Linked DNA regions of Drosophila melanogaster. The protein of the gene in region 1 interacts with the protein of each later gene in a pairwise test. Each region holds a gene or a part of one and is shown in the gene's direction. Other genes may lie near its edges. The genes, in order: Fs(2)Ket, Jupiter and rtet.

The links.
Region 2: the proteins of Fs(2)Ket (region 1) and Jupiter interact in a two-hybrid assay, tested with the Drosophila melanogaster proteins (one large-scale study listed by BioGRID).
Region 3: the proteins of Fs(2)Ket (region 1) and rtet interact in a two-hybrid assay, tested with the Drosophila melanogaster proteins (one large-scale study listed by BioGRID).

Annotation. Positions count from the first base shown.
Region 1 is NT_033779.5:20,733,006-20,738,024, forward strand, and holds the start of Fs(2)Ket (female sterile (2) ketel), read left to right. Parts: upstream 1-1,905; 5' UTR 1,906-2,085; exon of another isoform or gene 2,086-2,164; intron 2,165-2,247; 5' UTR 2,248-2,367; coding exon 2,368-2,425; intron 2,426-3,097; coding exon 3,098-3,339; intron 3,340-3,412; coding exon 3,413-4,441; intron 4,442-4,509; coding exon 4,510-5,019. Other genes in the region: TM9SF2 (transmembrane 9 superfamily protein member 2), read right to left, coding at 1-11, 921-1,058.
Region 2 is NT_033777.3:11,601,618-11,606,630, reverse strand, and holds the start of Jupiter (jupiter), read left to right. Parts: upstream 1-1,876; 5' UTR 1,877-2,045; intron 2,046-2,347; 5' UTR 2,348-2,427; coding exon 2,428-2,489; intron 2,490-5,013. UniProt on the Drosophila melanogaster protein: Binds to all microtubule populations.
Region 3 is NT_033777.3:21,106,527-21,111,370, forward strand, and holds rtet (tetracycline resistance), read left to right. Parts: upstream 1-1,919; 5' UTR 1,920-2,080; coding exon 2,081-2,524; intron 2,525-2,720; coding exon 2,721-3,062; intron 3,063-3,125; coding exon 3,126-3,199; intron 3,200-3,492; coding exon 3,493-3,668; intron 3,669-3,725; coding exon 3,726-4,031; intron 4,032-4,089; coding exon 4,090-4,181; 3' UTR 4,182-4,308; downstream 4,309-4,844. Other genes in the region: Sec15 (secretory 15), read right to left, coding at 1-45, 110-1,227, 1,292-1,367.

The DNA of each region.
Region 1 (5,019 bases):
AAGATTTCCGACTGAAGAAGATAATCAGGAATTAGATCAATCAATTGGATTGACAACTGTTGATAATACTAGTGTATTTTAATCTTATCGTGGAAATAATTATTAAAGTTTGGTAAAAATTCCAAAAGTTTGCAAATGCGTTCGATAATTTGACCCCGTAATTTGCTTTTACTTTGGGTTCTTAGAAATTTATCTTATCAAAAAGCTCTCTTAGATTGTTAGAAACAATTGAATGTGAAACACCTTAATTAATTCTTATCATTGGGCAACGTCTAATTTAAGGGCGTATAAACCGATTAGGATTTCTTGACCTACGGGTATATTAAAAAGTTGTTTAGATTTGTTTAAAGATAAGATGAAGCAAACAAAACCAATAGCTCACGCTTTATCATCCAATAGTTAGGTCATCTTTTAAAAGGGCTAACCCCATCTATTTGGGATATCAAACTAAAAATTATACTTTGTCCTGAATTTATATTGTTATTGTGTTATACTATTATTACTAAAAAGAAAATAACCCAAACATAATGCAAGGAAGCATGACAAGCTAACCGCGTTCCCTGGTTCAATTATTGGTTAGCCGCCACTATGTTAAGATTCTTAAGGTCGGGAGCCCCCGAAATCGCATTCGCGAGCCAGCTGAACCAACATTAGAACTCCCATCTAGCTGTCGCTAGGAAAGAGAGCTGGCGTAGGCAACGTCAGCAGAAGTTGAGATAGAGGGCCACATATGGACCCCACATATAACTAGTTACTGCGCTTATCAGTGCTTCCGCCTGTGACCACCATTAGAGGAATATAGAACCAATGTACATAACTAGTTCCAGTGCCTTTGCTAATTGTGGCGGGCGTGGGGCAAACACACCCACTATCTACGTACATATGTACATCTGCACTTCTGCACATACGTATACACCTACCTTGCATGTGGATGAGACGTCGGTTTTCTTGCAGAAATTGACCGGTGCCAGTCCGGGCAGATAGAAGGCCTGTGTCGGGGTCGCAAGGTGCAAGAGAACGACGCCCAGGAGCGGCAGAAGTCCGGATAGCAGGATCATCTCGAATTGGGGTAACCAACGAACGGCAGGAGTAGCAGACCTTCTTCCTTTACTTGTACGGGTTGTAATCACAACGTGGCCGTGTCCGCGATTCTCTGCCACACTTTCCGGATCGGCGGGCCACGCACAAACCGTACTATCTGGATATTTATCGGAATATACGGAGTTTTTCGAGTGTTTTTACTACGTTTCCTCTTTTTTGCCGAACGTCAGCACTGTAGCAGCGTTGCCACCTAGTACAGCTGAGAGGGCTGCCAACTGGCTGACAAAAAAACTACCAGCATTTGCAAAGCTAAATATTACCGCGAAAACCTTTAGCTCTTATTATTATTACGTGCAAAACGAAATTTGGTAGACTTAATAAACTTTTATATTTAAATTAATTAATTCCCCTGTTCAGTAAGCGAATGCAACCAATATACACACGTATACGTGTGATACTTCTAAGATATTACTATTTTTATCCACTGTTTCTTAATATAGTAATCAAATTTTGTTCATTTGTTAGTTTTTTACCTACGACTCTTAAGTCAAAGTATTCGATTATTTAGTTCGTTCGAGGTTTTGCTTCCGTGCTTATCTTTGAATATGAAAATTTTCGATAAGCACAATCATTCAAATTTAACGATTGATTTTTGGGGAGGCAAACGCGTTTTAATACAAGTAGTAAGTATTTTGGTCTTATCGTTCCTGACTAATAATATATTTTGTCAAATGGTTGCACATTTCCTACGCATTTAAGAATATTTAATTAATACGTTATTAGATTTAAAAATTATCGATAGTTCGAATAAAGCAATCGAATAGGTGTCGCCTTTTTCATCGAAACTCAGTGCTATCAAATAAAAATCGACATTCGTTTCAGCTCTATTTCAAATCGGAGACACAAGAAATATATTGCCTGCACTTCCCGAAGAGCAGATAAAGGTTCTGCCACCATTAAATAGGCTTATAATAATAACTAAGAAAATCGCCGTTAGGAATCCCGCGCTTTTTTACCGTTCCCGAAAAATAACCAAACAACAATGTGAGTAGAATGAAGAGTTCTACTGAACGCGCTTGTTGTGTGCGTGTGTGCGAAAAAATCAATTCTTTTGACAATCAAGGTGTTGCAACCTGTCGAAATAAAATCGCCAGCTTCAGCGGAGCAGCCCAATAACTTTAACTCTTTTGTCTCCACCATTTGCAGCCGACAGACTAGTGTTGTCTAGTAATTACGCAAAAATTCCATCACCCACACAGACGCACGAGCTGCAGAAAGAAACGGAAAGTGAAGTAGAAATCATATAGAGAGGAAAAGAGCGAAGACATGACTTCCGATATCGCCATGCAATTGATTGCCATTTTGGAAAAGACGGTGTCGCCAGGTGAGTTTCCCCACTGCTACAAACGTGTGTGTATAGATCCGAAAAATATGGATTTTTCTTCGATTGGCGGGAGGGACGCGCGTTATATGTTGCGCAGGGTTGCAATAGGCGCTCGCATATGTTTGGTTGCTAGGGGCCTCCGCACACATGTGCATCCACGTACATACTCCAAGGGAAACTTGGCGGCGCGTCTGTATGTATTCGCAATGCTTGCGCTCCTACAATTAAGGATGTACGAACCGCCTGCGACATAACCTCACTAACTCTAGGAATCGATGAGGCGTCGCTTCGGAGTCACCACCGTATGCTTGGCGGCCAGTTCTTCCGGTTGCTGATAAGGAATGCCTGCAAACTTGCCCCTTGCCTGAAGATTTTATGCTCCACCGCTACAATTCATTACTAGACCTTACTGCTTAGCTCTTCATATGCACACACTTCTTTCACCATCTATTGTATTCTTATTAAACAATATTCTCACTATATACGCCTTGCCTAAAAGTTCCTATCTTGCCTTCACATTCCCAAAAGTCAATTGTTGTAAAATTCAATGGCCTGATACCAAAGCTTTAAGCCGACCCAAAATGGTGGGCGTGTGTAGGCCCACAAATAAAATCTTTCGTTGACATAATTGGAAATTAAAAATGTCTAACCAACCAAATGACGCATTTTCAGACAAAAATGAGCTGCTATCGGCGAAGAACTTTCTGGAGCAGGCGGCGGCCAGCAACCTGCCCGAGTTTCTCAAGGCGCTGTCAGAGATACTGGTGAACACGGCCAACAGTGCGGTGGCGCGAATGGCAGCCGGTCTCCAGCTGAAGAACCACCTGACCAGCAAGGACGAGAAGGTCAGCCAACAGTACCAGGATCGCTGGCATCAGTTTCCCAGCGAGATCCGCGAGTTGATCAAGAATAACGTAAGTTACATACGCTGATGTTGAAACATATGACTTGTACAATTGGCACTGAATAACTGCGACTTACTTTCAGATCCTGGCTGCTTTGGGTACCGAGAACACCCGACCCTCCTGCGCCGCCCAGTGCGTGGCCTATGTGGCCGTGATTGAGCTGCCGATAAACCGCTGGCCCATGCTCATCCAGACACTGGTGAACAAGGTGGTCAGCGAAGGATCCAGCGAGATGCATCGCGAGTCGGCGCTGGAGGCCATTGGCTACATTTGCCAGGACATTCGTTTCGGCGTCATGGAGAACCAGTCGAACGATGTGCTGACTGCTATTATTCACGGCATGAGAAAGGTAGAGCCGAGCAATCATGTACGCTTGGCGGCCACCACGGCCCTTCACAACTCGTTGGAGTTCACCAAATCGAACTTTGAGAAAGACATGGAGCGCAACTTCATCATGGAGGTGGTGTGCGAGGCCACTCAGTGCCAGGACTCGCAAATCTGCGTTGCCGCTCTGCAGTGCCTGGTGAAGATTATGACCCTTTATTACCAGTACATGGAGCCCTACATGGCACAGGCTCTTTTCCCTATTACTTTGGCGGCCATGAAGTCTGATAACGATGCTGTAGCGCTGCAGGGCATAGAGTTCTGGTCGAACGTCTGCGATGAGGAGATAGATCTGGCCATCGAAAGCCAGGAGGCCACTGATCAGGGCCGCGCTCCGCAGAGAGTGTCCAAGCACTATGCTCGAGGTGCTCTGCAGTTCCTGACGCCTGTGCTCGTCGAGAAATTAACCAAGCAGGACGAGTGCGATGACGAGGACACCTGGAGCCCGGCGAAGGCCGCCTCCGTTTGCCTCATGGTGCTGGCCACATGTTGCGAGGACGAGATCGTGCCACATGTGCTTCCCTTCATCAAGGAGAACATCGAGTCACCTAATTGGCGATTCCGCGACGCAGCGGTAATGACTTTCGGCTCCGTGCTGAATGGATTGGAGACCAATACCTTAAAGCCGCTCGTGGAGCAAGCCATGCCCACGCTCATTCGACTGATGTACGACTCCAGCGTTATCGTGCGCGATACCATCGCCTGGACCTTCGGACGTATTTGCGATGTGCGTAGTGGTGATTTTTAAGGTGATTCATATTGTCATACTAACCTTCTACTGCTTTTTCCTGACAGATAATTCCCGAGGCGGCTATCAACGAGACATATCTTCAAACGCTTTTGGAGTGCTTCGTGAAGAGCCTAAAGTCAGAGCCGCGTGTAGCAGCCAACGTGTGTTGGGCCTTCATTGGACTTTCCGATGCAGCTTGGGAGGCAGCGGTCACCAACGACGGAGAGACTCCGGAGACGTACGCCCTGTCCCCGTACTTTGAGTACATCATTACCCAGTTGCTGGAGACCACTGATCGATCGGACGGAGCTCAAGCCAATTTGCGATGTGCTGCTTATCAGGCACTTATGGATATGATCAAGAACTCTCCCTTGGATTGCTACTTGGTGGTCCAGCGCACCACGCTGGTGATTTTGGAGCGCTTGAACCAGGTGATGCAGATGGAAACGCAGATTAACAATCACAGCGATCGTCATCAGTTCAACGATCTACAATCGCTTCTGTGCGCCACTCTGCAAAGCGTTTTGAGAAAGGTCCACGAGCAGGATGCGCCTCAAATTTCCGATGCCATTATG
Region 2 (5,013 bases), on another chromosome or scaffold:
CCCCATTCCAAGTCATTCCCCCCGCCCGCTTTTATTATTCCATTCCTGGACAAGTTGGTGCTGTTAATTTTTTTTAAGGGGAAAGGAAGAGGATACATATTATATTTTAGAAATTATCTCAAGATTATTCTTATATCAAGATTACCATAATTGACGTTACTATAATTGAAATTACACCATAATTGACATATTTTTCAATATTTCTCGCAGTAACAATTTGAATAAACTGTGAGTTGATGGGAAACTAGCTGAACTGTCAACTCTGGGGCAAGTACATAACGCCTAGGCTTTTACTTGCGCACAGCGACCGGCAAAAGGGGGCAAGTGGCATGTTGGTGTCAGGTTGCCGCATGTGCACCACTCCGCCGAATGCCCGCACCACCTCTGGCAACCCGTGCACCGCTCAGTGGGTAGCTAGTCCCACGACCCACCGATGGTAAAATAGCAAAACGGCAAGAAGCAGCGGCTGCGGCGACGACACGGCCAGTCAACTTTTGGCTCGGCTAAACAAAAGTGTCTTCGCAAGCTAAAAATAACCACTGTTTTGGCCCAGCTGCTTCCAACACACCCCTACCCTCTCCTCATTTTCCCGCCGACTTTGTGGCTCCATGGCCCGATCCTCTTAGTCGCTAGCTTGCGCTTCCTGTTCTGTGTGCAAATCTGTGCCAAATGTTTTCCAAGAAAACGCAGTATGCAAATACATATTGCATTTAAATTCTTGCTGCAGCAGCAGCAAAGCAGCAGCAAGTGTGGCAAATACAGGAAAAGGGGCAAAAGGGGCGGCCTCATTAGTGGCAAGACACTTGAAATTAGAGTTTGCAACTACTGCTACTGCTGCTGCTGTTGGCCCCAACCGAACTGAACGCTTGGCGATGATGAAAGTGATTTATGTCCGGCAAAGCAATGTTCCTCAGCTCCTCGTAGACACGAGACCCGATGTCTGGCCTGGCAGCAGCTTCATCTTGGCCAGGAAACATGTTTGTGGGCTGCTACCGCCTTGCAGCTGTGCTGTCCACACCCTGTAATCAAAGATAAGAAGCGTGTTGGAAATGGGGGGGGCTAAGTTCATAATGTTTTAGTACAAACTGAAATAGATATGAGCCTTTCTTTCGGCATTCAACTGCGATTTGTTTGTAGAGCTTGGATTTAGATTATAATAAGGTTTGGGTTTATAAGCCTGGTAGTTGAATTTTAGTGAATTGTGTATTTTTTGCAATCATTCAATAAAGTATAAATTTGATTTTTGCTATGGGTACATTTGGGTTTAAAACTTTGAATGCACTTGATTTTTTTAAGAGAAACTAGTTTTAAAAAACGAAGAAGATCAAGCAGAAGAAGCTGAGAAAAGAAACAATTGCATAGGAACCCTGAAGTGCACTAGACCTGAACTATTACTATTTTTTCGCTTTTCTAGCGCTTTTTGCAATGGCACGGCATAACTGAAGCATATCTGCGCACACTTCTCGCCGGTGGGGCACATAAAATGAGATAAATAAATGCAGAATGTTAATCCCGCAAGTGTCTTAAACACGGCTTAAGTATATGTTTTATTTTCGCTTCAGTTCCTGGCGTATTTTAAACTTTTTTGTGACCTACAAGCGGAGTGAAGAACTCACCACGAGTTGGGTTCTGCCCCACAAGTGAGAGATAGAGAGAGGGAGAGAGCATGGAAGAGAGCGGGCTCCAACTCTAATCAGCATCAGCTGTAGTTTGTTTTTGTTTTGATGCGCCACATGGCGGGCACTCACTCTCTTGCGCTCCCGCTCTCTTCCCGTGCAGCTTTTGCGCTCTGAGTGAGTTGGGTTTCGGTCGTTGTTTTTGGATCGATAAAACTTCTCGCGCTGCCGTGGTATAAAATGCTTTTCACTTTTCCCACTGCACTTTAGTCGCCAGACATTTATCGAAACGTGCACATCACCAGCGGTCGCACACTCAAACATATTGCATATATATATATATATATATATATTGCTATCCCAACAAAATATCCTTCGAATCGAAAAAAACCCACGCGAGTGCAAATCAAAAGTTTTTTAGCTTTCTTTGTGAGTGAAGTGTTTTTTGGGAATTTTTTCGGTAGTTGGTTGGGAAAACGTTGCAAGATATCCTGGCTTATCCAACTAAAGGAATTTCGTCCGTTTTCTGTCCGCTCTTACTGCACCCCCCTCTCCGCATATCTCTTGTCCGTTCTCTCCCGGGATGCTCCTTGCATTCTCTCGCAGTTGAGTAGGGTTTATTGATTTTACGCACATGCAGCATCCCCATCTATGAGTCATCATCATTCGTCCTGCAACATTTTCCCCCACGTGCCTAATCTCCGTTTTCCCCCACATCCGCGTGCGCTTAGATTTTTCCAGTGCGAAAAGTAAAGCAATTGCATCCATTCAACAGAGAGATTATCCTTTCGCCAAACAAATAGAAACAGAAATGGCCGCCTACGCTGCTTTCAAACACGTTGAGCTTTACAATGTTGGCAAAGCAAAGAAGAGGTAAGAAATTCCTAAAGGATACAGTTAAAGTGACATTTTTAAAGACTTCAGAACAAAGAATTTGCATGTCAAAAAATGAATCGATAAATTCGTTGTCCGGATTTATTACACATTTTTACACGGAAAAGGGAGTTCATCAGTTTTTGTCAATGCATGTCCCCATGCAAGAAAAGTCGTTTAATACGAGTACAAAAAGTGGCCTTTGTTAATAATGCTTTTGTCAAAAACCATCTTCTGAGGTTTTAAAAGGGTATAAATCACCATGACGCACAAAGAGAATCATATGGCTGGTAATTTCAGTAAATAGATATATTATCAATATTTATTCAAAATGAGTCTCACTAATTATGACAAGCTGCAAAGAATTGAAGGAATATTGTTTTGACAATGACGAACAATGATTAGTAGGTTCTTTATTAACAAATAATGTTCTCATGTAAATCATTACAGCTAGGACAATCAATATATTCTGTATTTGTTTAAAAATCTGTGTATCATAATAACGTAACTTACACGATGTTACTCAATGTGTTTGACTTATATTGAGGTTATTCGCCGACCGACTCATTTTCCCTGAAGTTTAACAACTGTTACGTGCCTACTGCACATTCTGTTATTGTTTGCCATCGCTCGAGTGAACTTTGATTGGCAAACATTTCGGAAGGCAGCAGCCTCATCGTGATCTGCATCAACATCTCCATTTCCATCTTTATCCCATTGTCTGAGCTGTCGGGCCGCACAAACACCGCACACTTACATATTCATTTGGTTATGTGTGTAGATTAATTTAGCGTTCATTCACCTCGCCGCCGCCTGACTGACTGACTAACTAATACTACCCATACAGTCGCGTGTGCACGGGGCGTATGTGTAATCTGGGGAGCACCACTTTTGCAAGCGCCTACTTCCCACAAAACCGAAACCACCTAGCAAGTGAACCACCACCACCCAGCAAAGCCAAGCCAAGCCAAGCCGCCGGTGTTGGCATGTCTTTGGATGTCGTCTCATTGATTTTCCTTTGCCAACCCAACGGCCACCTGCCCCACGCCAACCCACCGCACAAAGCACCACCCGCGACACCACCACTGCAGTCGTCCACTCGATGCTACCGCACCAAAGTCAAAGGGACCGACCGGCGTTCTTTGGGAATATACCCTTTCTTGCTCCGAGGCGTATGACAATCTCTTTTCGTGCCATCAAAACAATGCGCAATTTTAATTACGAGGTGTTAACGAAATATACTATTTGACGTGACACTACTACTAATAATAATAATGTTTGCACATCTAAGCAAAAGTGATTTCTCGGCTTCATCTGTGTTTCATTTAATTTCAAGGAGTAACTGCCAAACCGCTCTGTCAGTCTTTGCATAAAAAAAAATGGTGGCTTTATTAAACTATTTTTAGTTTATTAAAACTTGTTTTATTAGTACATAGACTTTGAAAGTTCAAAGTGTAGAATGGCATTTTTACAGTTATGAAGCTTATGATTTTTTATGGCATACTAAAATCCATAATAGCCGCCTATGGTGTACTAAAAACATTGGTTATGCAGTTATTATGAAAATTCAATTTTAGCTTCAACTCACTTTTCGGCAATCAAACAGATTTGTTAAACATAAAAACTGATTAGATTCGCCCATTATCCAAATGATACGAAATATAATAAAATGTTTATTATTGAACAATCACGTCCTATTACCGCTAAAAATAAATCATTATATTATTACCGTTTATCGCCGCTTGTACGACGAGGGTATTTCCCCCATCGACTTCTCTCAACTATGGCCCGCCTTTCTTTTTCAGTTAGTTTCGGCATTTGTTTTTGCATGCAATTCTTTGACCAAGCCCCATGTGCCCAGCACCACCCATTTTTCGCCTTTCGAGTGGGGAAACAACAACAAAATCGTTATCGAAATGTTTTTCGCTTATGTCTATTCCGTATACCACTCTTACGCTCTCGTACCTGTTCCGAGTTTGAATTCGTGTCCAAGTCCGCTTCCCTGTCCGCTGTTCCGACCGTCTGTCCGTCCGTCCGTTCAACTGTCCGTTTGTCCGTTGTCCGTCGTCCGCTGGTCCGTGGCGGACATTGAACCCCGCCTCTCTTCGCGGCCGTTGGGATCGGAGATTAGTTTTGGTCGCGGCAGAAACCAAATAGAAACAATTTTCCTTATGTGTGCCATGTGCATTATAAACAATTTGCTGGATTTTATGGTCCATCGATGGGTGGCTGGCTGCTGGGGATAAAGTGTGGAAAATGTGTTAATCATTGTCATTGATTGCGATTGTGTAACATACCGCCTTGGACTTTCCCGCCGGCGGCTGGGGGGAAAATGATTAATATACTTTTCCTCTGCATTTCGATGCAGCGTTTTGTCTGCCGTGTGTGTGTGTGTGTGTTCTCCTTTCTTCGGCAAAGCCATGACTTATTATTGTAAACAATCAAATTAAATCTCAAAGGTGCGACGCGCCAAGATATCGGATTGAATTGTCGCTCTTTGTTGCGTTGTATAAGCGGCGGAAAT
Region 3 (4,844 bases), on another chromosome or scaffold:
GTCGAGAATTTCGCGGAACACATGTACCCAGCGTTGCAGTAAAACCTGGAAAGGAAAGCCAAGAGTTTTACAAACAACAGAATGGCTTATAGAATTTCTTAACGTTCACCTCATTATAATGATCCCGCATGTTGTGCAATAGTTCCCAGAGGATGTTCACGGTGTAACCGTAGCACTTAAAGGTGTTGATGGACAGCATAATGAGGTTCTTAATGCGCAGAAGGATATTAGGATCGGTGCAGGACGAAGAACTCATGCTGATTTCGTTGACAAACTTGGTTAACGAGCTGGACCACAGATCCTCCAAATAACTGCTGGTCACGACATCGCCCGCCGTGTTTTTAACGTGATCCTCAACCACGAAGAAGCCAACGATGGCACAGATGTACGTTTTGTAGGCCTCCAAATTGTCGTGCATGTTGGGCGGCGGTTGAAGCACCAGTTTGGCCTGATCCCTGCGCTGCTGACGATAGTCCTTCTCGAAGTACTCCCGCTGACCCAGCACCATGTAGATGTGTAGGCAGCGGTAGATGGGGGAGAAGTCAATGAGATCCTGGGCACTAACGTTGGCACCATCATCATCCCCGCCAGCACCTGCTCCGCCGGCTTCGCCGCCATTCATCTGCTGCATGTGCTCGGCAATGATGGCGTTGATATCACGCTTTTGGAGCTGTTTTGTGTGTGTGATGGCCAGCTCGCCGATGCGGGGTGAAAACTTCCGGATGTTCTCGAGGAACTCTCGAAAGTCCGAGGCGGAAGAGCGACGGATGTTTTCCTTGATTATGGGAATCTGTATCTGCATCTGGGTGGCGAATCGGTAGTTGTGTGTCTTCAAGCGCGTTAGGTGCTCCGTCTCCAGAGTCTCCAGAGTTCTCAGCGCCTGGTAGTACTGCTTGTTCTTTGCCTGCTGTGTGAACTTCATGTAGCACTCCAATGCGGGCAGACAGGATTTGAGTGCCTCGATGGCGCTGGCCAGATTGGATTCGATCTGACGGGCCCGCACTAGATCATTGCCCTGCTGAATCAGCGAGGCGCTGATCTGGCGAAGGGACGTGTCCAAGGAATGCACTTCGTTGTGCAGCTGTTGGGCCTGCGTGCGCACCTGGAGCAGCTCCTGAATTGAATCGATGAAGCCCTGGTAGTACAGATTGCAGATCCGCTCGATCTCTTTGTCATGGCTCCGTATCCGCTGCTCCAGTTGGTCGCCAATCTGCTTAGTGTTGTTGCCTGTCCGGGAAAAAAGGAAAATGGGCGTAAACAAAGTGTGCCAATTGCTTCTATTCGCAGTCACCTTCAAGGATCGAACGGAATGTTGGTCCCCAGTAGTCGTCCACCGCCTCAATGTCTTGCACGGTCACTTTGGACATCTTATAACGCTCTTTTTTCTCTTCTAAACAACTTTTTACCAAACTTTAATGAGCAATTATTTCGCCGACTTATCGGTATGGTATATCGAATATTTACTAAGTGTTATCGAGGTTTGACTTTCGATACTAGGCGATAACAATTTTAAGCGGTATGTTTTAAATTATAATACAAAGTTGTGTCAGAGAATATCTGACTGCATTATCTTTTAAAAAGATATTATCACTAGGATTGTAATAAAATAAATAAATCAAATAGGCGAAAACTACCGAATCATAAACTTAATTTATATATGTATATCAAAATCCGGTTCTTAACTATTTAAGCAGGAAACAATGATTTGTAAAATATTTATAAATTAATTAAATATTTACAACTTAAACCTATGCTATTAGTAATGTTCACCAACATAATATTCGTTGGTAATTTTGATAAGAAAAGTAATTAATTACAGATGTTTGAATAACTCATTTTGGCGCCCTTATTTCAAATATCCGCAGCAAGCAACAGGTTGGAATGCCGTCTGCTCGTTATAGGCCGCCTTGGAACAGCTGTTGCTGTTCAGCTTTCACTTTGGCTTCGCTTTGGCTGGCCGCTTCTCGAGAGGGCCAAGAGTTGTCGGTGGAGTTGTGGTTCCGTTGATACAGTTATGTTGCAGTAACACCCGTACACGCACGCAATCACGGCACAAGCTAAACACCCGAAATCAGCAAAGATGGCCGACCTACGGAGTCGCCACAATGGAACCGCTGCCATGGAGAAGCAAAGCCACAGCCAAACCGGAAGCCACCATCACAACAACAATAAAGCGCTGGATAAGGAAGCATCGGAGAATGGAAAGCCGGAGAAGAGTGATCCCATGATATACATAATCTTCGTATCGCTGCTCTTCGACTTACTGGCCTTCACCATCATTCTGCCGCTGCTGCCCTCGCTGTTGGAGCACTATCGCCAGAACGACAGCTCCGGCTTGTATGCCGTGCTCACGGATCGGGTGCGCTGGTTCCAGCAGCTCCTGGGCGCCCCGGATCGCTACATATCGGTGCTATTCGGAGGCTTTCTCGGCTCCATGTTCAGCTTCCTGCAGTTCGTGGCCAGTCCGATTGTCGGAGGACTCTCGGACTACTACGGACGGAAACCAGTCCTGCTGGCTTGTGCGGTAGGTAATCCCAGTGCTCAATGCTTTAATGTGCACTAAACACTAAACTAGTCTTGTTAGTTTTCTTTTTGGCTTGGTCAACATTTCATGCTATTACGAGTTCAATCCAAAAGCGTGGAATTCGTCAAATTCAAACTCCTTAGCTAAGCCACAAATAAGTAAACCTTCCTTAAGCTACGTCTTCTTTCATCTATAGAGTGGTATTGCGTTATCCTATCTGATCTGGGCCTGCTCCAGCAACTTTGCCCTGTTCGTTTTGGCCCGCTTCGTGGGCGGAATTAGCAAGGGCAACATATCCCTGTGCATGTCCGTCATTACGGATGTGTCCAGCGTTAAGACCCGTGGACGCGGTATGGCCCTTGTGGGTGTGGCCTTCTCGCTGGGCTTTATTGTGGGGCCCATGATTGGAGCCCTGTTCGCCATATTCTCCGATAAAAGTGGAAGTACTTGGTTTGTGTTGCCCTCTCTGCTGGCGTTTGGCCTGGCAGTTGGAGATCTTGTGGTCCTGGCCTGCTGTCTGCGGGAAACGTTGCCCAAGGTGCGTACGGTTGGCTAAATTAAATATATTCCCAACACCATTAATTGTTTGACCTTTTCGCAGGAGAAACGTGTTAAGGAGATATCATCTGCACTGTCTTATGGCCTGCAGTTGCTCAATTTTTCGGCCATATTTAGGTAATTCAATGTTTTAATTAGCATGTCTCGAAAACCTGTCGTGTGATCAAATCGAAATCGTCATACGGTGAGAACTGCAAGCCACCCGGACTTGCCTGACTGGTTTGATAGACACTATTATCATGCCGGGTTCTCGGACACGTTTGTTTGATTGCCTTATCAGTTAGTAAATTCTAGATTGCTTTTGATTAATTGTAGTTACAGGGAATTGAGTCCAGTTAGCTAGAAGATTATTACCAATGATTATGTCTGGATTTTACAATCATATTTCAAAAGAATTCTCCCACTGACAGATTTGCTGCCATCAAAAATGTGCCTAAGAAAGACATTGCGGCACTGCGATCCATTGGCCTGGTATACTTCTTGTATCTCTTTCTGTATTCCGGCTTGGAGTTCACCGTCACATTTCTGATGTACCACAAATTCGGTTACACTTCGATGGATCAGGCGAAGATGTTTTTGACAACGGGTATGGAGCAAGTTGATAATCTACAATATTCCCTATCAAATTTGTGTCTTTTTCTAGGTGTAATCATGACTTTGCTGCAGGGATCGGTGGTCCGACGGCTGCCCGAGGCGAAGATCAAAGGCTATGCCATCTTCAGTTTGTACCTGATTGTACCCGCCTTCGTAGTAGTCGGCCTAGCCGAGGGCAGTCGGATGCTGTACGCCGGCATGACCCTGTTCGCAATCTCCACAGCCTTCGCTGTCACCTGTCTGACCACCCTCGTATCCAAATACGGAAACGATGACCAGAAGGGTTCAGTACTGGGCATATTCCGCTCACTGGGAGCTTTGGCTCGAGCTCTGGGCCCCGTGGTGGGATGCATTGGTGAGCTCCTCAGCTGTCTTAGGATTATACCTTTTCTAAACTCTTTAATCCTTAATAGCCTTCTGGTGCGTTGGCTCCAGGATCACCTATATAGCCGGCGGACTTCTGCTCATTTATCCAGCCATGGCCTTGCAACGCGCTCGCATTTAAGTGCAATAGGAATAGAGTTTTTAAACTCACTAGAGATCAACGGAAGTATTAGCTGCACATTATACTTAATTTATCGTTTTTTACAAGTATTTTATATTAAAATAAACACATTTTTACTCTGATTTGTAAGCAGGGGGTTTTTACTTGGGATCGAAATGTTTTCTATTTAATTAATTTTTTTAATAAGATAATATTAGAAACAGTTACTGCTACTGGGAGAACGATTCTGTTTAGGTTGGAACGTTTTAAGTATTCAAGACATTTTGAGTTGGAAATAAGTTAAATGGGCTAGGGATAATCCCTAGAAAATGTGTTCAGCTTTTTTAAAATACGATAGGCTTGTCGGGATGAAACGAGAGCAGTTCATGATAATTCGTCGTACCGTCTGGTAACTCTAAAACATCCATCTCGTTAATTTAGTGATGCAAGTCGATGTGAAAACATCGATAATGATATAAGTATGTTGGTGTTTTAAAATAAAACAAATAAGTTTTTTAAATAGGAAACAAACATTAGATTTATTTTCTAGACCTAATGTGTTTTAATTATGAAAAAATTTAATTCTAATTCTAAAGCTTTTGAGTATAAAACAATGTTCATATAAACAAAAATAGAAGTGACATTGTACTATCGCCTTACATCGCCATTAAGAAAATCGATAAG